7 linked regions of the Ovis aries genome follow. The protein of the gene in region 4 binds, or shares a complex with, the protein of the main gene of each other region. Links are inferred from orthologs where the notes say so. Each region holds a gene or a part of one and is shown on either strand. Other genes may lie near its edges.

The links.
Region 1: AHI1 (region 4) and TMEM17 share a complex: the UniProt entries of both Homo sapiens proteins name them as parts of the tectonic-like complex. The link is inferred for Ovis aries from reciprocal best matches to the Homo sapiens genes AHI1 and TMEM17.
Region 2: AHI1 (region 4) and B9D1 share a complex: the UniProt entries of both Homo sapiens proteins name them as parts of the tectonic-like complex. The link is inferred for Ovis aries from reciprocal best matches to the Homo sapiens genes AHI1 and B9D1.
Region 3: AHI1 (region 4) and B9D2 share a complex: the UniProt entries of both Homo sapiens proteins name them as parts of the tectonic-like complex. The link is inferred for Ovis aries from reciprocal best matches to the Homo sapiens genes AHI1 and B9D2.
Region 5: AHI1 (region 4) and CC2D2A share a complex: the UniProt entries of both Homo sapiens proteins name them as parts of the tectonic-like complex. The link is inferred for Ovis aries from reciprocal best matches to the Homo sapiens genes AHI1 and CC2D2A.
Region 6: AHI1 (region 4) and TMEM231 share a complex: the UniProt entries of both Homo sapiens proteins name them as parts of the tectonic-like complex. The link is inferred for Ovis aries from reciprocal best matches to the Homo sapiens genes AHI1 and TMEM231.
Region 7: AHI1 (region 4) and TMEM237 share a complex: the UniProt entries of both Homo sapiens proteins name them as parts of the tectonic-like complex. The link is inferred for Ovis aries from reciprocal best matches to the Homo sapiens genes AHI1 and TMEM237.

The regions. Positions count from the first base shown.
Region 1 is NC_056056.1:45,739,197-45,742,143, forward strand, and holds the end of TMEM17 (transmembrane protein 17), read left to right. Parts: intron 1-774; coding exon 775-1,053; 3' UTR 1,054-2,447; downstream 2,448-2,947. UniProt on the Homo sapiens protein: Transmembrane component of the tectonic-like complex, a complex localized at the transition zone of primary cilia and acting as a barrier that prevents diffusion of transmembrane proteins between the cilia and plasma membranes.
Region 2 is NC_056064.1:33,860,203-33,864,294, reverse strand, and holds the start of B9D1 (B9 domain-containing protein 1), read right to left. Parts: upstream 2,801-4,092; 5' UTR 2,781-2,800; coding exon 2,718-2,780; intron 1,368-2,717; coding exon 1,299-1,367; intron 550-1,298; coding exon 438-549; intron 1-437. UniProt on the Homo sapiens protein: Component of the tectonic-like complex, a complex localized at the transition zone of primary cilia and acting as a barrier that prevents diffusion of transmembrane proteins between the cilia and plasma membranes.
Region 3 is NC_056067.1:50,063,066-50,065,727, forward strand, and holds the end of B9D2 (B9 domain-containing protein 2), read right to left. Parts: intron 1,101-2,662; coding exon 787-1,100; 3' UTR 501-786; downstream 1-500. UniProt on the Homo sapiens protein: Component of the tectonic-like complex, a complex localized at the transition zone of primary cilia and acting as a barrier that prevents diffusion of transmembrane proteins between the cilia and plasma membranes.
Region 4 is NC_056061.1:60,789,912-60,793,411, forward strand, and holds part of AHI1 (jouberin), read right to left. Parts: intron 1,103-3,500; coding exon 546-1,102; intron 1-545. UniProt on the Homo sapiens protein: Involved in vesicle trafficking and required for ciliogenesis, formation of primary non-motile cilium, and recruitment of RAB8A to the basal body of primary cilium.
Region 5 is NC_056059.1:111,425,731-111,429,230, reverse strand, and holds part of CC2D2A (coiled-coil and C2 domain-containing protein 2A), read right to left. Parts: intron 2,668-3,500; coding exon 2,609-2,667; intron 1,823-2,608; coding exon 1,648-1,822; intron 66-1,647; coding exon 1-65. UniProt on the Homo sapiens protein: Component of the tectonic-like complex, a complex localized at the transition zone of primary cilia and acting as a barrier that prevents diffusion of transmembrane proteins between the cilia and plasma membranes.
Region 6 is NC_056067.1:2,332,056-2,335,555, forward strand, and holds part of TMEM231 (transmembrane protein 231), read right to left. Parts: intron 1,568-3,500; coding exon 1,439-1,567; intron 868-1,438; coding exon 724-867; intron 1-723. UniProt on the Homo sapiens protein: Transmembrane component of the tectonic-like complex, a complex localized at the transition zone of primary cilia and acting as a barrier that prevents diffusion of transmembrane proteins between the cilia and plasma membranes.
Region 7 is NC_056055.1:203,952,349-203,955,848, forward strand, and holds part of TMEM237 (transmembrane protein 237), read right to left. Parts: intron 872-3,500; coding exon 751-871; intron 1-750. UniProt on the Homo sapiens protein: Component of the transition zone in primary cilia. Required for ciliogenesis.

The sequences.
Region 1 (2,947 bases), on a different chromosome or scaffold from region 4:
AGTGATAATGCCTAAAGATTTCAGTGTTCTTCCAGGCCCTTCATAATTAAGCCCCACCCAGCCTATCCCACTGTATTTTGTGCTTTTTCCTAACACAGACATCCATTCCAGGCTGATGTGTTGTTTCCCAGTCATATTCTTTCCACATTTTTGCTTATTTAAGTTCTTGCCTTTTCCTCATTCTGCTGCTGCTACTGCTGCTAAGTCACTTCAGTCGTGTCCAGCTCTGTGCAGCCCCATAGGTGGCAGCCCACCAGGCTCCCCTGTCCCTGGGATTCTCCAGGCAAGAACACTAGAGTGGGTTGCCATTTCCTTCTCCAATGCATGAAAGTGAAGTCGCTCAGTCATGTCCGACCCTCAGTGACCCCATGGACTTCAGCCTTCCAGGCTCCTCTGTCCGTGGAGTTTTCCAGGCAAGAGAACTGGAGTGGGGTGCCATTGCCTTCTCCGCTTCCTCATTCTATCTAACTTTAAAAGCCTACCTCCTTGAATTATTTCTTTTACCTACCCTGTTTACTCTGTTAGAGCATTTAGTCTATTACTCTAAGTGGTACGTACGTTTCATTATTCACTTAAGTGTAGTAATGTAGGACTGTCACATAAGGTAGTTTCCTCTTTCAGTCTAGACTGTAAGTTCCCTGAGGATAAGGACCACACTATACTTATTTTGAATTACAGAGCTCAAAATGTAGGTTCACAGTAGTATCACTTGCTTCAGCACAAGCAGAAGATGGTACTTCACTGGTCTGATGTTTGTCGTGTGTATCATTGCAGGTTCCTGAGTTGGCTGGCTTCTGGCTTCTGAGCCTTCTGTTGCAGTTGCCTTTAATTCTTTTCTTGCTCTTCAATGAGGGCCTAACAAATCTGCCCTTGGAGAAAGCAGTACATATCATCTTCACTATATTCCTTACTTTCCAAGTTGTTTCAGCATTTCTTACCTTGAGGAAAATGGTAAATCAGCTGGCAACTCGTTTCCACCTCCAAGACTTTGACCGGCTGTCTGCGAGCCGAGGAGACATGAGAAGAGTGAGGTCCTGTATAGAAGAGATTTGACCCAGTGCTGTTGAATAAGCATCTGGAGGATCATTCTAGAAGACTGCAGGAAAACACCAGAGGGCTAACACAATAAAAGGGACAAAGCAAGTGTTTTGAACTGTATCCTCCCTGGCTCTGAAATTCCAAGGCTGGACACAATGATAAGACTGTACAGCACGTGAAAGCAGTAAATCAACCCTAAAGCCTGCATGTTGTCTACCTGATGTCAAATATCTTAAATTTTTTGTTGTTGTCAATGTTTTCAGGTGTGTAGAGATCTATATTGGTGGCGTTACATCTTTACTGTAATATCTCCAGTTAGTACCTGTAACTAGAAATGTGTATATTTCTTTCACTATTGTTGGCCTATCCATGTCTTGGCAGTACGTATGAAGTATGTGGAGATGCTGGTCAGTATTCTGATGTATTAGACTACATTTGTAAACAGACACCAAATTTTCATGTCTGCTAGGGTCTTAGCTATTATACTGAGGTTAAGAAGAAAGCAGGTAGATTGTGATGATATTTAGGAAATGTTTTTATCCTAAAATTGTTATTTTCATACAGCCATGTTCAGTATTTATGGTGGTGGTGTGCAAAATGTCTTCACAATAAGTTATAAAATATTTATGTTGAGCTATCTTTAGAAATCATTCTTGTCTTTTACAGTTCTTTTGGGCTGTGGGTTTATTTTTATTATAAAGTTAAAAGAGAAAAGTACATGTATTTGAGAGCCTTCTATGTAATTTGCCACTGTCCTGGGTACATTAACCCTTATGATCTTATCTATTAAGTCATTATTCACTGAAGAACTGCTCATACCCAGTAAATTCACATGAAGATTGATCTGATAATCAGGGTGCCTGTTAATATATAGAGTTTGGATGGCCCAAAGGACTCATGATCATAAATGAGCATATTCCCTTGCTAATAGGAGAAACCTATTTAAGGAAATTCTGTTAAGAACAAAGCTTGCTTGGGTATATCTGAACCATTAATTTTAAGTGATAATTGGGTTGTCTTAAGAGATACAATATTTTCTTTCCTAAAGTATTGTATTTTATTGAGAGATAGTTGTAGCTACATTAAAAATCATTTTTTCTATCCTTCCTGTTTTGTGATTCATGCTTATCTTAGGATTTCCACATTATGCCTTATTCATTTTTATGTTGCTTAATTTTGAAAATGTTTTCACTTCCCACTGTTAATCACACCTTACTATTCTGTTTATGCTCTTTTTATTATTTCTGCTTTTTATTATTATATATAATGTTCAGTCAAAGTTTTCTTCCCCTGTACACTAACTAATTAACCTTTGCCCTATACCAAAGCTGTCACTAGGTATATTCCAATACTTTGAAATTCAAAATAGAATTCTGTTTGAATAGTTTAATAAAATGTATTTGTTCACATTTTTTTCCAGATAGATGAGTTTATAAGAAAATATAAAATAAGAACACTAAATCTACATAACAGATAAATTAAGGTGATGATCAAGAAAGACTTTTCTATTTAACAATCATTTCCAGAGTTTTATTTTAAATAGCAGAGCCTCTTGATACATTTAAACTTTAAGGTAAATCACTAAAAGTATAAAGAATAACAATAAAAAAAGTTTAATGGTTAAATGGGGGAATATATGTTTATAAAAATTTTAAAAGTTTTTGTTCTAATAATTATTGCTTAAAATGTAGATATAATGAGGGTAAGAAAAAAGAAACTAAGAAAATCAATTGAGAACATGATCAAGTCATTGGTTTTTCATAAAACAATAGAACCATGATTTTGTGTTAGTCTGAACCAACATTTTCTATTTGGTGTATATACATGGTGCTCTATGTATGCATAGGAAAATTGAGATAGGAAAGACATTTCCATGTCAGCACATTTGGAGTTTAGGCAATCTGTATTT
Region 2 (4,092 bases), on a different chromosome or scaffold from region 4:
ACATTCATTAAGTGAGAGTGATCACAGACGACCAGGTACAGTGGACAACAAACCCTGCAGATATTGGCAAGGAGAACTTTGGGAGATCAGAGGTAGGATGAGGGCTCGGTGCCCATGGCAGAGAGAAGGGCCTACCCCTGGCTCAGGGCAGGGTGTTGGAGGAGGAGCAGGGGGGTCGGGACTGGCGGGAGCACAGTGGTGATGGACGGGGGAGAGCTGTTGAGGGGCCAGACTGCTGAGCCCCAGACACCAGGCTCTGACCTTCGCAGGCAGTCACTGCCCAAGGTTTCACGCTGGGCTTCACCGACTTCCTCAGAACCTCGGAAAGGTCAAGTGCACACAGTGGGAAGGAGGGGAAAACAGCCAGGTGTCTGATAGCACCTGACAAGGCTGGTAGAGGGCCCCATGGATGGGCAGGACGAGGCCTGCAGACTCACAGCCGTAAGGGTTGGTGCTCTTAAAGGTGACATCGATGGGGAAGTTCCACACCAGCGCCCGCCTCGCATCTTGGCTCTTGGAGGTGATCTGTGAGATGCCCTCCTCCAGCCCCTGCAAGGACAATGACAGTGACGGCCAGTGTCCCAGCTCCAGGCTGCCATGCCCACCCACCCTACCTCTGAGGTGGCAGCTGAGAGCTGTTTTCATCACCATCTTCTGCCAAACAAAGGGACCTAAGATGTGACAGAGTGGCTCCCAGGTCTTTGAGGGTTTCTATCCATTAGGACCTGAAACCTTGAGGCCCCTCCCCTCTCCCGGTGCCCAAGCTCCACCTGCACCTCCTGCGGAATAGGGTATGGTCCAGCAGGCTGTTGCCCTCTCCCCTGTCTTTCTGCCTGGCTAGTTTATTCTACAGCCTTCTACTTGGCCCATCCCCCTGCTTCCTTCAGCTCTACGCTCAGTTACCATCTTTTTTTTTTTTTTTTTAAACTGTCTTAAGGAGGCCTTTTCTGGCCTCTTCATCCCTCCCCTTCCTGCCTTCACTTTCCCCTCAGCACCGCTACTAGCCAACAGCCTGGAGCGTGAGTCTGTCTCCCTCTCAGGCAAGTGGCCCCAGCAGAGCTGGGCTGGTCTGGCTTTGTTCGCTGCAGGGCAGGGCCCAGGAGCGACCACAGTCTTAGGGGTGGATCAGGGATCTCTGCATTCTCTGCTCCGGCCTCACTGGGAACAAACTCACGTGTGTGCCACCCCTGAACTCTTAACTGGTTCTGAATTGGGAGGGGAAAGGGTGCAATGGAGCCTTCAGAAACCCCTTCAGTCACAAAAGCTGTGAGTCTGGGAGGCTGTAGGGTCCAGCTTACCGCTGTGGGGGCCCAGTCCTGGCCATACACGAAACAGTACTTGCAGTAGAGGTCGTCGTACTCAGGAAACTGTGGAAATAAGCACACACAGCTTCTGCTCACAGGGACTCATGCTGTGACCACCTGTTAGCTAGGCAGGTACAGCCACCAGCAACTCTGAACATGAGGCACCTAGGGGGCGGGGGCTGAGAGAGCAGGGTGCATGGATACGGAGTTCATTGGAAGGTCTGGTCTCAAGATGTGGGATAGTCCAGGGACAGTGCTGCCCCCAGGCTTTTGCTCAGGCTCTGACATCTGTATGACGTGCCCTTCTAATGAGAAGTGAAGGAATGCCTTCACTGGGAGTACTCCTGCTCACCCTTCAAAACTGACACTTTGGGGAGCCTGCCGACTTCCAGGTTGTTGGAGCCACATCCCAGCTTCCACAGCCCCTGGTGCTCCATCACAGCACTGACCATGTTTATTCTCTCAGCTCCATTAGACTGTGAACAAGGGACAGGTATGTGGGCTTTCTGTGTCCCTAGCACCTGGCACAGGGTGGGCACTAAGGAGTGATGCTGAAGTGAAAGGTCTAGAAGACAGGTGCTCCCAGGACACAAAGCTTGGTGGGAGCCAATGGCCTGCAGAGTGGCCTCGAGCAGAGGGGAGGAAGAGTGGGGATGAGGGGCTGCTGAGAACACAGGCACACTGACCCAGCCCAGCTGAGGCCCCTGCTGGGATAAAGCAGAACAGGAGAGGCTGGCCTTAGGCACCAGGCCAAGGGGAGGTGGACAGGGTGGGGGCATGGGGCAGTGACCCTGATGAAACAGGAAGGCGGGAGATGCCCGCTAAGAGATCCCACGGAGCTTTACCTAGACCACCTTGGTTAGTACTCACAATATAATCATAATATTTTTAAAACAGCCTGGAAAGGCAAGTCCAGCAAAGCTTTGACATCAGACAAGGTTTGAAATTCGTTTTGCCACTTCCTTTGGGCAACTTCCCATCTGTAAAATGGGGGTGCAAGTAATACCTACTTCAAATGGTTGTTGTGAGGACTGGCTGAGCGGGGCTGGGCATGAAGACTGTCATATGTCATGTCTTCCAGTAGTAACAAACGGTTCTTAGGACATGCAGGGGACTGGAAAGCACTGTCCCCTTCCGTCGGACAGACACAGCCTCCGGGTCAGGACAGCTGCCACCATCGCTGTGTCAGACCAACCCGCGCCGGAGGGAGGAGCTGAGGGTCGCGGGGTGGATGGAGGCCCCTGCCCGAATCTTCACGTGGGCTCGGCCAACTGTGGCCTCGGCCTGGCTCAACGCTCCAGGCCTTTTTCCCCACCGCACTTCGTGGCGGAGGGTCCGCGCGATCTCTCGCCAAGCCTGTCACGCTAGCTCCCTCCCCCGAGGTTCGACCCTGGAGGACTCACGGCCGCTCACCTGGGCGCTCTCCACCTGCCCGTTGACCATGAGCAGGAACACGCTGGGGCCCGCGGCCGCCATAGCCGGGCCGCGCGGTTACTAGGAGGCGCCGGGTTGCCCTGGAGACGACGGCGTGGCGCACGGGACAAGTTTCATGGAAGCGGGAGCTTCGGGAAAACGCGCACAAGGCGCGGCGCGCAAGCGCAGTCGGAGCGGCGCTGTGCGGTGGGAGGCGGGCCTCAGCCGCCTGGTCCGTCTGAGGGGCGGTCCGCCCGAGGAACCCCGCGTGAATGTAGCTGGTGGTGCGGGACCTAGGCCACCGCCCGGGAATGTGTGTCCGCTCTGACCACCGCGCTGCCGGTTGGAGTGTGTGACTGGAGCCCGAGGCCGCCAAGGGGCGGGGTCCGGCCGCGCTTCCGAGAGTCCCCGTGGGGCCAGCAGCTCCCTGCCTCGGGTCTACAGATGCTCCCTCGTGCCTTTGAGACCCTCGCCTCCCAAAAGTTTATTAGACCAACCGAGAAGGGACCTGGAAGGTCCTTAAGCCCAAGACTGCAGGTCTCCGCGTGACGCGGGAAAACGGGCCTCTGAGTGGCCGCCCCGGCACCTTGCCGGCGGGGAGGGGCGAGCCCGCGGGGCTCGGCCGTCCGCCTGCTCTCAGCGCTCCCCACTGTTCGCTTTTGCACATCGATTACTGTGATAGCTCCAGCCAGTGCCGCCTCTCCCCTGAGCCCTACGCCACGAACACCGGGTCTGGGCCACCCCCGTGTCCCGGTTGCCTGAGCACTGGTGGCAGCTAGTGGAGTGGATGGATAATTGAGTACGTCTGCTGTACTAGCTGCCAACTCTGCTAAGTCGCTTCAGTCGTGTCCGACTCTGTGCGACCCCATAGACGGCAGCCCATCAGGCTCCCCCGTCCCTGGGATTCTCCAGGCAAGAACACTGGAGTGGGTTGCCATTTCCTTCTCCAATGCATGAAAGTGAAAAGTGAAAGTGAAGTCGCTCAATCGTGTCTGACTGGTAGCGACCCCATGGACTGCAGCCTACCAGGCTACCCCGTCCATGGGATTTTCCAGGCAAGAGTACTGGAGTGTGAATACGTCTCCGTTGCTCATTATCAAAGCTATGGTTTTTCCAGTAGTCATGTATGGAGGATGTGAGAGTTGGATCATAAAGAAGGCTGAGTGCTAAAGAATTGATGCTTTTGAAGTATGGTGTTGGAAAAGACTCTTGAGAGTGCCTCGGACAACAAAGAGATCCAACTAGTCCATCCTAAAGGAAATCAGTCCTGAATATTCCTGGAAGGAATGATGCTGAAGCTGAAACTCTGATACTTTGACCACCTGATGTGAAGAACTGACTCATTGAAAAAGACCCTGATGCTGAGAAAGACTGA
Region 3 (2,662 bases), on a different chromosome or scaffold from region 4:
TCCGCATCTTGCGTGGGCGGGCTCCAAGGGGGGTCCCTTAAGCCCGGGGGGAGGGGGCGGACACCCGGCTCCGCCCCACCAACAGGGTGCTGCCTCCTGGCGGTCGAGCGCTACCGAAGCGGGCGGCAGTGATGCTTGTGGGTTTGAGGACTGGGCCGGGGGTCAGCGAGAGCATAAAGACCTACGTAGTGCGGAAGGCTCAGAGAATGGGGACCCAGGATACAGGGACTTCGAGGTGGACTGCCCTGAGTGGAGAGTGGGAAACCGGGGCAGAGGGGAAGAGGGTCAGCCAGAAACTAAGGAGCCACTGGGGAAAGGGGCACGGGGCGGGGGGAACCTCCAACGAGTGGGGGCCCTTAAGAGCATCACCCAGAGTGGAGAAGGGGGTCAGACGCTGAGGCAGAGGGCAAGGGAAGGGGGCTTGAGGAGGGTAACAGTAGGAGGAATCCCCCCACCCCCGGCCCACGTCTGACAGATGAAGGTCAAAAAAGCACCCACACTTGAAAAGCACTACATCTTTATTGAGCCCTTCCACGTGCCAGCAGCTTCTCTGCACCCAACCCCTGTGAGCCCACACACCTACTAGCCCATTTTACAGATGGGAAAACTGGACCTGGGAGGGGTAGCCACTGGGCTTGAGGTGCTAGTCAGGTTAGAAGCTGCACCAGCCTTGGCTGGGTCTGGCCTCACAGTCTCCAAAGCCCATGCTTCTGACCACTGCACCATCCTGCCCCTTATGGGGTGTCCCAAGACATGGCTGGGGGCCAGCCATTCTTATAGGCTCCTTCAGCATTCAACCCCATACCGATCAAAGTGGCGCAGCAGCAGGCTCAGCTCAAGGTGCACAGTGCCCCCGGAGGTGGTGTGCAGGCGATAGCGGTCAGCCCCACTGTAGATGGCATCTCCATGCAGCAGCTGAGGCCCGCCGCCCACGAAGGCCCTCGCCAGCTGCTCTCGCCAGCTGCCCAGGGGCCGCCACGTGGGGCAGTCCAGCTGGTGGGTGCCTGGACTGCTGGGCACATGGCAAAAGCCATAGCCTGCAAGCTGGCAGCGGCCGAAGCTGTCCTGGGACCACACCTGGAGATGGAGCCGGGGCCAGCCTGCAGGATAGGGGGGAGGGTGGAAAGGTGAAGGGGTACAGTCCAGCCTCTTACTCCTGAAGACCCCCTGCCAGGTTTCTGCCCCACCCTCCTCCTCTGGACCACCACAGAGCAGCCAAAGGGATCTTTCTGAATCCAGGTTCTTCCTCGGCTCAAAACCCTTCCATGATTCCCTAATGCTCTCAGTATAAAGTCCAACCTCAACATTCTAGACCCTTGAGGTCTGGCCTCTGTTGAATTCTCTGTTGGCCTTCTCCTCTGTGTCCACATATCTGGGGAGCCCAGTCCCCAGGTGAGGGTGGTGGGCCTGGTCCTGGATGCCTCCTTCCTTCCCTCCCCATGGCCACACCCTGTCCTCTTTCCTGGCCTCGGGGCCTTCTTTCTTGCCTTCATCATCTTTCACCTGGCAGCTGGAAGCATCTTTCTCCCCTTTCCATAGATTTCTCAGTTCCTCACTCAAGATACAGTTCAGCTCCTCACCCTATAGGCAAAGTGCTTGGGAGATCCAGCCCCATTTCACCCTCCTTTTTGAGTCTCTCTGAGCTTGGCCCTGTTCTAGAAGCTGGGGATACAGCAGTGAACAGGGCAGACAAAAATTTCTGCCCTTGTGCAGCTGACATCTTAGACAACCAACACAGTAAATACGCAAATTATAGGGTATGTCAGATGGTGATAACTGCTCTGGAGAAAAATAAGCTGGGTAGGGTGGGAGTAGGTAGGCATGCAGTTTTAGAAGGCGGTGATCAAGAAAAAATTTACTGAGGTGACATCGGAGGCAGTGCTTAAAGGAGGGAAGAGACTGGGGGCTATATGGCTATCTAGGAAAGAGTGCTCCCAGCAGAGGGGACAGCTAGTGCAAAGGCCCTAAGGTGGGAGCTGCCTGGTGGGACTGATGTGGCTGGAGCAGACGGGGAAGGGGAGACAGAACCAGATCAAGCAGGGCCCTGTCCTTCCACGGTAAGGCTTTGCCTTTTACCTTGAGTGATGTGGGGACCACAGAGGGTCCTAAGCAGAGGAGGAATGTGGCCTGACTTAGGTGTTCACAGGAGGGACACCTCAGTAAAGACTCTATGGTAACAGCCTAGTGAGAGGTGATGGGGGTCGGGGGAGTGATGACATTCAGGATGCATTCCAAAGGGGGAGCTAATGGGATTTCCTAATAGAATGAGAAAAGAAACAGCAAGGATATTTGGGATCCTTAAGAGCTGAAAGGACTGTGGCCTGCCTCACCTTCCAATCCGTCACCTGTGAGACAGCCAGAGGGATCTTTTTTTTAACTGCAATCTTTTTTTTTTTTTTCAAGTTTATTTATTTGTTTGGCTGAGTCAGGTCTCAGTTGTGGCACATGGGATTTCTGTTGTGGCACTAGGGCTCCAGAGCCCATAGGCTCAGTAGTCACGGGGACCCAGCTGCCCCACAGCATGTGAGATCTTAGTTCCCTGACCAGGGATAGAACCTATCTCCCCTGCATTGGAAGATGGATCCTCAACCCCTGGACCACCAGGGAAGTCCCCAGAGGGATCTTTTAAAAGCAAAATCTGACTTGTCAATCACCTGTTCTG
Region 4 (3,500 bases):
ACAGGGCGAACTGTTAACAGCAAGAACCTTTTGTATTCTATTACAAGTTTATCACTAAAAGGATGTTGCCTGTGTGCTTAAATTATACATAATGGCCCATCTCTGGAAACGCTGCTCCCCAAGTAGTGAAAATTAAGCTAAAATACCTTTGTTTAGCTCAGAGGAAACATCCTTACCAGGTCCACCTGTGAGTGACTGCAGAGAGAAAGAAATGAACAGACCCTCTCTGGAGGCTTATGGGAACCAGAAAGTGTTTGACTTGACTCCCTCTCCTTTTAGTGTTTAGTACTCCCTCCTCCTCAGAAGGAGCCTGAATTCCATCTCAGGCAAGATGGTTATCTGGGGCATGAAGCATCTTCTGAATTTGCTGGCTTTCTGAGTAAAGTTGCCATTCATTGCCCCAACAACTGGTCTCTCACAATTACTGGCCTTTTATGAGGCAAGCTCTATGAGCTTGGACTTAGTAACAAAACTCCAGGAATCACTCAAAAGCTGAAAATAGTGTTTTTTTAAGAGGACATTGTATATTTATCAATGTAACATACCTTGTTTGAGATTTAGACAAGGTGGGAACTTTCTTTTTTTTCTTCTTTCGTTTTTCACCACTCAATTTGTCATCATGCAATGAAGAATCTAAGGGAAAGTAAGACAACTGCTCCTTGAGTTTCTTTCGGATTTTCTTCTTAATCTCCTTTGCCATTTCTTCAGCTACCTGGAGCTGGTATACCTGCATCAGCTGTTCCTCATCCAAACCACTGTCTTCTCCTTCCTCCTTGGCCTTTCCACCTTTGTCACGAGCCACTCCTGGCTGTGGCTTAGTCCGTGTTTTCTGAGGCGTCGCATCTCCCTTCTCAGGAGCTTCTGGCTCCGTCTCTCGTGCAGTCACCTGGAGCGCGGTTTTCGTAACCTTTTTATTTGCCTTTTCTTGCTTGTCATCCTCCACACGAACATCATTTTCTGGGTCTTCAGTTGCTGGCTGTGGATCTCTCGGTTTGGTTTTAGTTATTGTTTTACTGTTCTCTGGGTTCTTAGTGTTAGCAGCAGTTATAGCATCACTTTCAGTTTTCCTGATTTTCTGAAGACTGCTTGTAACAGCATCAAGCTAGGAAAAGACACAATAACAGAGTGTCAACTAATCACAGTTTAGTTCTGTGAAGATAAAATCATGTTGACTGTTTCACAATATGCAATACTGGAAAGAATATTTCACTTTTTACTCCAGCACTGTGACACCATTCTAGGGCCTTAGGTGAGCGTTTTCCTGCTTATTCTCCCAGTCTTAGACCAGCAATCTTAAGAATAAATTCAGATCAAAGGAGTTAACTAACATGGGGAACATGTTAATGACTTTTTAAAAGTGAATTAACTGCTCAAATCTCAAATGTTACTTTCCTCTGGCAAAATGATCCATATTTCAACCTAATTAAGAGATATTAGTGAAATTGCTAGAAGAGCTATGGTTAAAGTATTTCATGTTCTCTAATAGAAAACACACACAGGTCGTTTATCTTGCTTCATAATTAAATTCAAAAACCAAAGGTTTACAGCTCTAGGATTACTGTGCAATTAGTCTAAGCATTTCACTGAAAAGGCTGCTAGGTATTAAATATTATCAAGTTAAATCAAATGACAGACTAAGCACATACTTGTATTAATAACTTTCTCCATTCAAACTTATTTAAAATAAGAAATAAACAGAAAATAATGCTAGAAATCAAAAAGGAATGTTACTAGTAATAAAATAAATATTTTGAGAAATTCCCCAAGGATGCAAAACAGGCAGGATTAGATCCATTAAGAAATCCATTAAGAAACTACCAGAGAAAACCACAGACTGTAGGAAAAGACTTCTCCAGAGAAAAGGCTGGTTCTGGGGAAGCCATAACCTCAGGCAAGGAATACGAGAAGAAGGGATAAGCCTGAGGATGACCAACTGAAGAGTTGGGAGGGCAGCTCTGTTCCCCTCCTCCAGCTGTGTTACACGGTGCCTTTCACCCAGAGAACAAAACAGCTGAACAGATTAGACATATGGCTTCCTGTCTCAGGTAGGCACAACCCTCACCACCAGCAGAAGCGGGTTATGTTGAAAACAACCAACAGGCAGGAAAAAAATTCTCAAACACAAAGATGATTAACAACTGAGAACTGACACTGAGGGAAAGCAGCAGCATCGAGAAGTCCACCAACTCCAATAAAACAGAAAAATTAACATGGAAGAAAAACAAACAGCATCAACAAAATAATTTAAAATAAGTAGAATTAATATTAAGAAACTCAAAAAGATATGAGATGGAAAACAACTGCAGATGTTAGAACTAAAATTTTGAGTGACAGAAATAAAAGCTGAAGGGATGCGTTCAAAAACAGAATGGCTAAAACCATAGGGATAAAAGACTGAAGTCAGAGAATTCTCCCAGAAATGACGGAACCAGTGAAGACTGAAGTTCAATTATTGAAAACCCTCATGCTTCAAAGTAGTTAGAATATCTAATATACGTGAAAAGATGGAAAAATGTATTCCACCACATACCCAATATTTTACCATCTTTAAGACTCTTCTGCTCACCTAAAATATATTTCCACATTCTACCTAATCCTTAAGGATAAATTCTGAAGCCATAGCCTCCAAAAATCTTTCCTAATCAAATTTAATAAAAATATCTTCTTAAAGGTTTATTTTCACATATCCTGTTTCTAGAAGCAATATATCCATAAAACAGTAAGAAAACAGAAAATTTAAAAATAGAAAAAAATTCAGAAATTACTTAAAAAAGAAAACCCAAAGTTCAATCCTAGATTGCCTCACACAAGGAAAATCAATGATAATCTGTTCAGAAACTCACTTTTGTCTCCTTTCTCTGAAGACAGTCATACCTAATAACCTTGAATTTCCATTACATCAATACAGAGCAAATGCTAACTTTTCTGTTTTCTCAGTACCAGGAATGTAGTGGCAATCAAGGTAAACCGTGAGGACACTAATAAATGGAAAAAGATAACCAAAAATTAGAAACAGAAGAAAGAATTATAGTCTAGACGAAAGGATTTTGAAAATGAAAACCCTGGGGAAGCTCATCATGTGAAGCTCATAAGAGGTTTATTTATTCTCTTCCACTGATCTGTCAACCTTTGTACTAATAACATCATTTTAAATACAATCCTTAGAGCACCTTTGGTAGCATTCCACAATTCTATTGAGATGATAGTTTCAGTACCTTTTAAATTCCTGTTTTTGTGGTTTGTATTCCCTTTTTCTTGCTAATCGCTTCACGAGATAGATTTTACATTACCAAGTAATTTACGAATTTAAAAGTTTTGTTGTTCTAGTTTTGTCATACTATAAAAAGTCTACTTCATGGAATTTCACATTTCATGGACTGTCACTGAATTTTACAATCTCTCAAATACATTTGTTCATGTTCTATTTATCTTTAACCATCCGTTTATCTTTACCATCTCTGCATCATTTTTTACTTTAGCTTGTCTGTTTTTAAAAATAA
Region 5 (3,500 bases), on a different chromosome or scaffold from region 4:
CTGTACACAGCTTCAATCAAAGGCTTCACCTCGGAGTATGGCATGTGAAGGGGGAATCCAGAGAACTGCAGGAAAACAAAACAACCAACATTTTAATCATTACTGAACGTGAAGTTTTCACTGTATTTTCCCCCTAATTAAGTATGTGCAGTTCTAAGTAGGAAGTCTTCCTTTTGGGTCTTAAAGTCATTTATTTAGCTTTGTTTTTCTATTCAGCTATATATTAACATTATAGAAAATAGAGAGAGGCTAAGTGTTTTAACTGCTAACATACTGACTTGATGTTTAAGATACCTGTTAATCACCTAGCCACCCTCCACTGTTCCCTTCCTCCTTATCATAGCCCCGAGTTTGCATAGAAAGAAACCCATGCAGTACCAGGACCCTAGGGTAGATTAACACATTCTACCTGGCCTCAGTGTTGATCTACAGGAAAGAGGGTATGTAATCTAGGAAACTTGTAAGAAATACTGGCATACAGATGTTCTCTGCTGCTTGGAGCAATGTGTGTCCCTTTGTGAGTCGTACCAGGAACTATTCCAGCCCAGTTCCAGCCCATGTGTGTCCATATATGAGTGCTACCAGGAACTATTCCTGTGCTCCCATGAGGAAAACCAGTCTGTGGACGATGCCATCACATGGAGGAGGGCAGAGAGGGAAGACGTGCAGACATGTGGTATGGCCCCAATAGCTACTTACCCCTAAAATTTACCCTAATAAGCCTATAGGTTGTTAATGCTCATGCTTGTTTGAAATAAGAAGTTTTCTGTTACTTGAAAGCATCGCAGCTGAAACCTAGCCTTAGAAGTTAAAGGGTAAGTTTTAGTCACTGAATAGAATTAAATGTCCAACTTGGGACCTTCCTGGTGGTCCCGTGGTTAAGAATCCGCCTGCCAATGCAGAGGACGTGGGTTTGGTCCCTGGTCCGGGAGGACCCCACATACTGTGGGGAGCTAAGCCTGTGCACCACCGCTACTCAGCCCACGCGCCTAGAGCCTGTGCTCTGCAACCAGAGAAACCACCGCGGTGAGACGTCCACGCGTCGCAGCTAGAGTGGCCCTTGCTGCAACTAGAGAAAGCTCGTGTGCAGCAACAAAGACCCAGTGCAGCCAGAAGTAAAATGAAATAGCTTTAAAAATGTCCAGCTTGGCTTCATACTGTTGACCAATGAGGCTTACTGTTTCAGTTTGCCGCTGCTTTCTAGGTTTTGGTATCCAGCTATAGGGTATGAACACAGCGCAGCTGACAGCAGAGAATATCTGTTGCCTAGGAAGGAGAATTTTTCTTAGCAACGAAAAGCAATCAGGATAAAGTCATATCCTTAAAGTCTGCTCAAGAATGGTTGGCTTCACCTTTATGCTCAGTTGAGTCTAACATGATTTAGCCAGACATTTTTGTTTTATGTAATACTCTTGTGATTTTATAAAAGATATTTTTCATAGGATCCTCCTACCAAACAAATGGTGATATTTCCGTTTTAGAGAGACATTCTGCTATTTAATGGTGGGTTCATTCCTGAGCTTGGAACTTCTATTCACAGTTTTTAATCTCTGCTGCTTCATCTGAATAGTTTGGGAAGTAATCTAGGCGTTTTGATTCCAAAGCCCATTGTACCAAGCACTTTCCAATTCGAAATGGACTGCTTACCCTGTAGTCTCCCAGCTGTTTGAGCAGTTCTGCTCTGTGGTCGTCCTCCACGTCTTCTTGGTTCCTTTCTAAGAGAGGCAAGAAGTGACGCAGCATGGAGGTGCAGTATCTGTTCCACCGAGTCAGGTGGCGCGGCCGCCAGTCCATGATTTTTTCTTTTAGTATTTTTTCAATCCTGTTTATAAAAAAAATAGGCTCCATTTTTTGGGGTGACTTGACTTTTCCCTTGTAAACAGAAGTACAAAAAAATAGCATTTTGAAACTTTTAGAAGAAACAGGATTTTTTTTTTTCCAGGAATTAGTTGTTCTCAGGACCTCACAACTTTATTTTAAATTTGGAGTTGAGAGTAAATTGATGTTTTTTAGTAATAACACCATAAAAGGCTCACTGTGATCCTGCACAGTTTGACATGCACCTCTTCCCGTGGCCTGAGACAGCAGAAAGGACACACAGGCTTTGGAACTAGAAAGGTCTGGCTGGGCTCAGTAGCCCCTTAAACACCTGACAAGTACGCAGACCTCTCTGAGCCTTGTGAAACTGGGAAAACAGGGTTCATGATAAGCATTATGGGCCTCAAACAGGCTCTTACTAATCATCTATTAATCCCATGTGCTAGGTTTAGAAAGTAGCTGAAGTTCACTGAACCACTGATGGAACAAAATGGGCCTATTTAAGCCAAGGATTGTGAGATTGCTGCACGGTACCCATGCGTGGCATGCTGTTGAACTCTAATCTGGGGGGAAGTTTCTGGAGAACTACCTATCAGTGCTGGACTTCACTGCCCTGTGGCTCACACCATGCTGATGCCAGAGCCTTGGGATTTAGAGACCACATCGGAACTTTGTAAACACGAATTAAAGTTTAATTGCTGTTCACACTGATCCAGGGTGAGAACTGTTTCATTTGATAGTAACACTCCTAGTGACAGACTGCATGTGGATTTATGGGTTATCATGTGACCTGTCTTGCAGTTCAGCTGCAGCCACCTGGTCTGTGCGCTGGTAAATAAGCTCTTCCGGCTATAAAAGAAAAAAAAAAAAAACAGTTGAGAAATTTTTTAGGAATCAGTTACAGTTTATTTTAGTAGCTGTACATCCTTCTCTAAATTTTTTTAAAATTATGAACTCTTCATTGAGTTAGGATAATATCCCAGATGCCAGTGCACCTAAGCTCTACTTTTAAGTAAAGCATCACAAATAAATTCCAGTGCTGCGTAGTTCTTTCTCAGTTTTATTACCCTTTCTCTCACAGAAGTAACCACAATCTGAATTTGCTTTTTCAGCACTCTTCATTCAACATGTATTGAAGACCTTCTGTGTGTCAGGCACTTATACAGGTGAAGAGGATGTAGCCCGTATGAACAGAATCCCTGCTCTTGTGGTGTTTACGTTATAGTCAGTGGAGACAGGCAAATTAGTGAAATGTGTTCATGATTTAACTACAGATATTCATATTGCTAAACAATATACTGTGTTGCTTTTCACTTTTCTAAACTTTAGTAATTTTATCCTGCGAACATATAATTTTCCCCTTTAACATATTTAGAGAGGATAGCAAATAGGTATTTTCAGTGTGCTTAACTAAGATTCATAAATATTGATTCATTCATGTAACTACTATTACATATTCCACTATATATACCATAATTTACCCCTTCTGTCCTTCCAGTCCTTGCTGCTGCTGCTGCTAAGTCGCTTCAGTCGTACCCGACTCTGTGCGACCCCATAGATGGCAGCCCACCAGGCTCCCCTGTCCCTGGGATTCTACAGGCAAGAACACTGGAGTGGGCGGCCGTTGCCTTCTCCAGTGCCATTCCTTAGGCTTCTGCAAACAATTCTCCTATGAAAACTTT
Region 6 (3,500 bases), on a different chromosome or scaffold from region 4:
CCCCTTTACCAATGAGGGAGACGGCAAATGAACAAACTGGAAACCTCCCTTTCATATTTCAGGTGAAGGTAAGCAGAGTAAACCTGGGTGAGCGATGATGGAGGGTCAGGTGGATGGTCTTTAGAAGGCGTGTCGAGCAAGGACTGTGCTCAGGAGCTTTGACCAGGGGCCAGACGGAGCAGTAGGGTGAGCGATGTGGGTACTTGGTAGAGGAAAAGGTAAGCGCAAAAGCCCTGAGGCAGGAGCTGCTTCGTAGGTTTGAGGAACAGCAAAATGGACCCCGGGGCTGGAAAGGAGCAAGGGGGACAGTGACAGGACAAGCCGCTGGAGAGCGGAGAACGGCAACAGAAGGCGTCTCATGAGGCTGCTGCGATGACTGGATGAGACGATGTAGTTAAACCTCTTAACTCGGGGCTGGCCTGTTATAAGCTTAGCAAAGAAAGACCATGTGAACTACACTGCGTGTGCATGCAAACCCCAAAACTATAAATAATCCAGTTCTTAGATAAAGACACAGATTCTTCTCCCTCTTTTTTGAAGATGTAAACAGAGATATCTGTCACCATATTTCGAAAGGATTCACGGAAAGAATTCCTCAGAGATCCTTTTCTGTGCCACTCACAGAGAAGTGCTATTTCCAATGCTACTTGCTCCCTCTTCAAAGCGCTTGATAAACAATACAATACAGTAGCAAAAGAGATCGGCAGTGTGAAGCGTCCCTACGTTGTACCGGACGTCCAGGCCTCTGTAGCCGAGGGGCTGCTTCTGCTGCAGCCTCAGGTCTCCATTCACATGTAACTGGGACCCCGGAACAGCGAAGGAGGATTGGAGAAACGCCATGCTCTGCATCACGAATGTAGACATCCTCTGAAATCATTAGAAAGAGAGACCATATCAATTTCAGTCAGAGCCGAATGGTTGCGGGTTTTGAGCATCACCCATCTGTGGTTGAAGCTAAGCCGTCCCCCTAGTGCTGAGCTTAGCCATGCAGGAAGCGCTCTGCCCAGAACCCCTGGAGCTATTAATAGCTCATGGAAATTAATGTGGCCTCCGCGAAAAACATTCAAATTTAACTTCGGCAGCTAAATCCTAAATGACACTTCTGCAAAGAGTCTTCTGCAGTGCGAGTTTTCCCAGAAATCAGAAAGGGGGGCTCTGTTCTATTGAAAGACAAAAGGGAGGACTTCCTTGGTGGTGCAGTAGATAAGACTCTGCCTGCCAATACAAGGGGCACAGGTTCGATCCCTGGGCTGGAAGATTCCACGTGCTGCAGAGCAACTAAAGCCAGAGCTGCGCTCCAAATCAAGGACGCCCTCGCACTGCAAGCCAGAGTGGCCCCCACTCACCACAACTAGAGAAACCCCACATGCGCAGCCAAAAAATAAATAGGTAAAATAAAAACTACGAAAAAAGTAAAGACAAAAGGGAGGTAACTCACATGCAGTTGGTAGGAGAAAGTCAGGATGAGCTGCACACCTAGAACCTGCTCTGTGGACTGCAGGGGAAGCTCCAGTTTAAAGTGCAACATGTCCATTTTCCCATCCTGGTTCCTGTCTTCTTCTCTGGCCTAGGAAACCCAAAAATGCTGATGACCCTGGTCCTTAATAAGTCCAGGAGGACTCCACAGCATGGAGTACGTTGGACATACACAGTGACTCTGCCACACACAGGCATTACATCTCTCACCGAAAGAAGAAAGAGAACATGGAATAGTTATAGGTGGATCAATACTGGGGAAAGAGACAGGGCCCCTGAACTGCACACTCGCACTTCTAAATATTCTAGGGCCAAACTGGCTGGGACCTGGAAGCGGCAATGAAAGCAATGCAACATCTGGAAGCGTTATTCTTTTTCAGTTGTCTCATTTGACCTTTTTTGGTTTGTTGCTGGTGTTTTCTTTCCTTTTAAGAAATATGCCTGAGTTTATAGGGAAGGTTTAAATAGCACCTAAGAACAGATTTCGAAAAAACCCCAATCATTCTGCATTTCCCAAACAGACTCAGCAGAAAAACACCAGGCTCTGTTTATATGTTCTTTAACCACAATGTCTTTGCTTCAGATTCTCAACGTTGGACTGATGTCAGGGCTTTAAAATGTGGTGTATCTTGTAGTACCAATCAGTACAATGGAAAAGAAAGCTAAAGTAAAATCAGTAAGGCACTAAGACTCCATAGGTACTTTATAAATTAGTGACATGAAGGCAGTGAGAACAGAGATCCAAGGAGGGAGAAAGACAGATCATAGCTCACAAAAAACCGCCAGAATCCAGTCTCGCCTCACAGTGACCCTAAGAGGACGAGCAGGAGAGACGGTCACTGAGATGTGATCACTGGGGACATGATTCCGTGGTGCAACTCTGGACCTCGCTGTTACAACTCATCCTTTCCGAAGGCTCCCAGAAGGACTCTGCGATGGTGTATCAGCATATTCCCCCCGATTCCCCATCTACTGAGTCATGTGGTTCTCCTCCATACCTCTATGTGGGGGAAGAGATTCTTTGTTCTTTCTCAGGCTAATAAGGTCGCTTGAGATGGCGTTATCTCAGTTTTCAGAACCTTTCAATCATTTCTTTCCTTCTAGACAATAATGTCCTTATCCTGGGCCTTGTTATGGAGAAGTCTACCCTCTCTCTTCTGTTGGATGCTATTTTCTCTCTCTCGTTCTGTCGGCTTTGCAGGTGCAGCACAGGGATATCTGTTACCAGGGCTGACGATCAGGTTACCGAGGCAATTATGTATCAGCAATTATGAGCAGGATGGAAAAGAGGCTGCCTTGTCTTCCTGAGCATTTTTTCTTTCAGCTGATATCTGGGAAGACTTGGAAGACAAAGTCAGGTTACCTCTCTGTGGTAGATCCATAACTTTTCTGGATCTTGAGGGTTATACAGGAAGACAAAGATCAACAACTTTTGAGAGAGGAAGGATAGTGGTCAGGAGGGAAATACCAGAAGAATCTGGACTCTCAGACAGTCTCAGAGGGAGAGACACATTTCATTTGACCTTTACAATCAGTCAAAGGTAAGCAGAGCAACTACTATTCCCATTGCATATGTGAGAAAATCAAGTCTCAGGGAGATTAAAGGATTTATGGAGTACAGCTAGTATTGGTAAAGACAGGATATGAAGCCACATATCTGACTTCAAATCTGGTCCTGTTTCCAGGACTAAAATGTCCAGACTTAAACTCAAGGAGCAGATGTTGGTTATGAAAGATCTTTTTGCAAAAAAACCAGCATGCTTTTACTCCAGGTTCACAGAGGACAGAGATCTGGTACAGCACCATAACTGGTGTCTGCTTGTTAAATCCGCTCATTAACCTGGCAAATATTTTCTGAGGGCCTACTATGTGCCAGAGGTGCCAGGCATTGCTTCAGGTTCTGGGAATAGAGTGGCAAACAAAATGGACAAAGTCCCCACCACAGCGGAGCTTCCATTCCCAGCCAGGGAGGCAGAGAGTAAGTCAGTAGACCATGTGCCGACATCAGGCAGTGCGGGTGCCAC
Region 7 (3,500 bases), on a different chromosome or scaffold from region 4:
GGTCCGTCTAGTCAAGGCTATGGTTTTTCCTGTGGTCATGTATGGATGTGGGAGTTGGACTGTGAAGAAGGCTGAGCACCGAAGAATTGATGCTTTTGAACTGTGGTGTTGGAGAAGACTCTTGAGAGTCCCTTGGACTGCAAGGAGATCCAACCAGTCCATTCTGAAGGAGATCAACCCTAGGATTTCTTTGGAAGGAATGATGCTAAAGCTGAAGCTCCAGTACTTTGGACACCTCATGTGAAGAGTTGACTCATTGGAAAAGACTCTGATGCTGGAAGGGATTGGGGGCAGGAGGAGAAGGGGACAACAGAGGATGAGATGGCTGGATGGCATCACGGACTCGATGGATGTGAGTCTGAGTGGACTCTGGGAGATGGTGATGGACAGGGAGGCCTGGCGTGCTGCAATTCATGGGGTCGCAAAGAGTCGGACACAACTGAGCGACTGAACTGAACTGATGTAATACTTTTACTACTTATATAAAATCTTCTATTTGTGTTCCTCTTCTTTAGATTCAGCTCCTAAAATATTTTATTTATTTAAATATAATATTTTACTTTTCTCAGTGGGCTTACTCTTTTCAAAGTTATCCTTAGATTAGTTTAACTAATACATTCGTAATACTACTTATCCTAGAGATACACAACTACAAGCATTTAATAAGACTTAGAAGCTGCTGTTTGGGAGCTCCAAATTAAGCATCAGGGTGTCTCTGCAGAATATTTAGAAGGACAAATAAATCCTTACTTCGTCTTCCTTCGAGGTTTCTGAATAACTGGCTCCTCATCTGGCTCCACATTGATACCGTTTTCATTTGGTAATAAAGATGGACTAGCTGTCTTCTTCTGGGTAAAGGCAGTCTCCAATTCTGAAAATAAAGCAGATTAAGTTTTTAAATAACTATGATGCAAAAAAGAAAAGTAGCATGTAAGACTTCTGTAAGACAAAAGAACTTTAAGAATTCTAATTGGCCCCCAATCTTTTTCACCATCTTATTAATTTTTAAAATTTTACACCTCTAAACACTCAACAGACAATTTGAAATCATGATGCCAAACAACATGAAAAAAGAAAAATCAAGTCATCCAACATCGAGGGTGTGTCAGAACTCCAAGATTACCTCCAAGTTCTATGATTCACTCAACGGACTCACAAGTCATTTACACTCACAGTTACAGTTTATTACAGGAAAAAGACACAAAACAAAATCAGAACAAGGAAAAAGCTCATGGAACAAAGTCCCAAAGAAACCAAGTCCAAGTTTCCAAGAGTCCTCTATCAATGAAGTCACACAGGATGTGCTAATTCTTCCAGCAACAAGTTGTAACGACATATGTGTTCCTTTCTCTTCCAGGGAAGCTCATCAGTCACTTAGCAGCCAGGAATTTTACTGGGGAGTGATCACAGAGGCACCTCGTGCCAAACACATACCAAAATTCTAGACTCCCAGAAGAAAAGCAGGTGCTCAGCATAAATCTCACTGTGAGCATAGCGCACAGTGAGCCACCCTGACAGTTTATAGAGAAAGCTTTGTATCAGTGTAGACAACTGTTGCATAGGAAGCTGGAATGTCAGGTCCATGAATCAAGGAAAATTGGAAGTGGTCAAACAGGAGATAGCAAGAGTGAACATTGACATTTTAGGAATCGTGATCTAAAATGGACTGGAATGGGTGAATTTAACTCAGATGACCATTATATTTACTACCGTGGGCAAAAATCCCTTAAAAGAAATGGAATAGCCCTCACAGTCAACAAGAGAGTCGAAAATGCAGTACTTGGATGCAATCTCAAAAATGACAGAATGATCTCTGTTCATTTCCAAGGCAAATCATTCAATATCACAGTAATCCAAGTCTATGCCCCAATCAGTAATGCTGAAGAAGCTGAAGTTGAATGGTTCTATGAAGATCTACAAGACCTTTCAGAACTAACACCCAGAAGAGATGTCCTCTTCATTATAGGGGACTGAAATTCAAAAGTAGGAAGTCAAGAAACATCTGGAGTAACAGGCAAATTTGGCCTTGGAGTACAAAATGAAGCAGGTCAAAGGCTAACAGAGTTTCGCCAAGAGAACACACTGGTCATAGCCAACACCCTCTTCCAACTACACAGGAGAAGACTCTACACATGGACATGACCAGATGGTCAATACCGAAATCAGACTGATTATATCCTTTGCAGCCAAAGATGGAGAAGCTCTATACAGTCAGCAAACACAAGACAGGGAGCTGACTGTGGCTCAGATCATGATCTCCCCATTGTCAAATTCAGACTTAAATTGAAGAAAGTAGGAAAACAACTAGACCATTCAGGTATGACCTAAATCAAATCCCTTACGATTACACAGTGGAAGTGAAAAATAGATTCAAGGAAATAGATCTGATAGACAAAGTGCCTAAAGAACTACGTGCCATTGTATAGGAGGCATTGATCAAGACGATCCCCAAGAAAAAGAAATGCACAAAGGCAAAATGGTTGTCTGAGGAGGGCTTACAAATAGCTGAGAAAAGAAGAGAAGCTAAAGGCAAACAAGAAAAAGATATAAGCATCTGAATGCAGAGTTCCAAAAAATGGCAAGGAGAGATAAGAAAGCCTTCCTCAGTTATCAACGTAAAGAATAGAGGAAAACAATAGAATGGGAAAGACTAGAGATCTCATCAAGAAAATTAAGACATACCAAGGGAACATTTCATGCAACGATGGGCACAATAAAGGACAGAAATAGTATGGACCTAACAGAAACAGAAGATATTAAGAGGTGGCAAGAATACACAGAAGAACTATACAAAAAAGATCTTCATGATCCAGATAACCATGATGGTGTGATCACTCACCTAGAGCCTGACATCCTGGAATGTGAAGTCAAGTAGGCCTTAGGAAGCATCACAATGAACAAAGCTAGTAGGTGATGGAATGCCAGTTGAGCCATTTCAAATCCTGAAAGATGATGCTATGAAAGGGCTGCACTCAATATGCCAGCAAATTTGGAAAACTCAGCAGTGGCCACAGGACTGGAAAACGTTACTTTTCATTCAAATCCCAAAGAAAGGCAAGCCAAACAATGTTAAAACCACCGCACAATTGCACTCATCTCACATGCTAGTAAAGTAATGCTCAAAATTCTCCAAGCCAGGCTTCAACAGTACGTGAACCATGAACTTCCAGATGTTCAAACTGGATTTAGAAAAGGCAGTGGAACCAGAGATCAAATTGCCAACATCCACTGGATCATCTAAAAAGCAAGAGAGTCCCAGAAAAACATCTAATTCTGCTTTAAGCCAAAGCCTTTGACTGTGTGGATCACAACGAAGTATGGAAAATTCTTAAAGAGATGGGAATACAGACCACCTGACCTGCCTCTTGAGAAATATGTATGCAGGTCAGGAAGCAACAGTTAGAACTGGACATGGAACAACAGACTGGTTCCAAATTGAGCAAGGAGTATGTCAAGTCTGCATACTGTCACCCTCCTTATTTAACTTATATGCAGAGCAC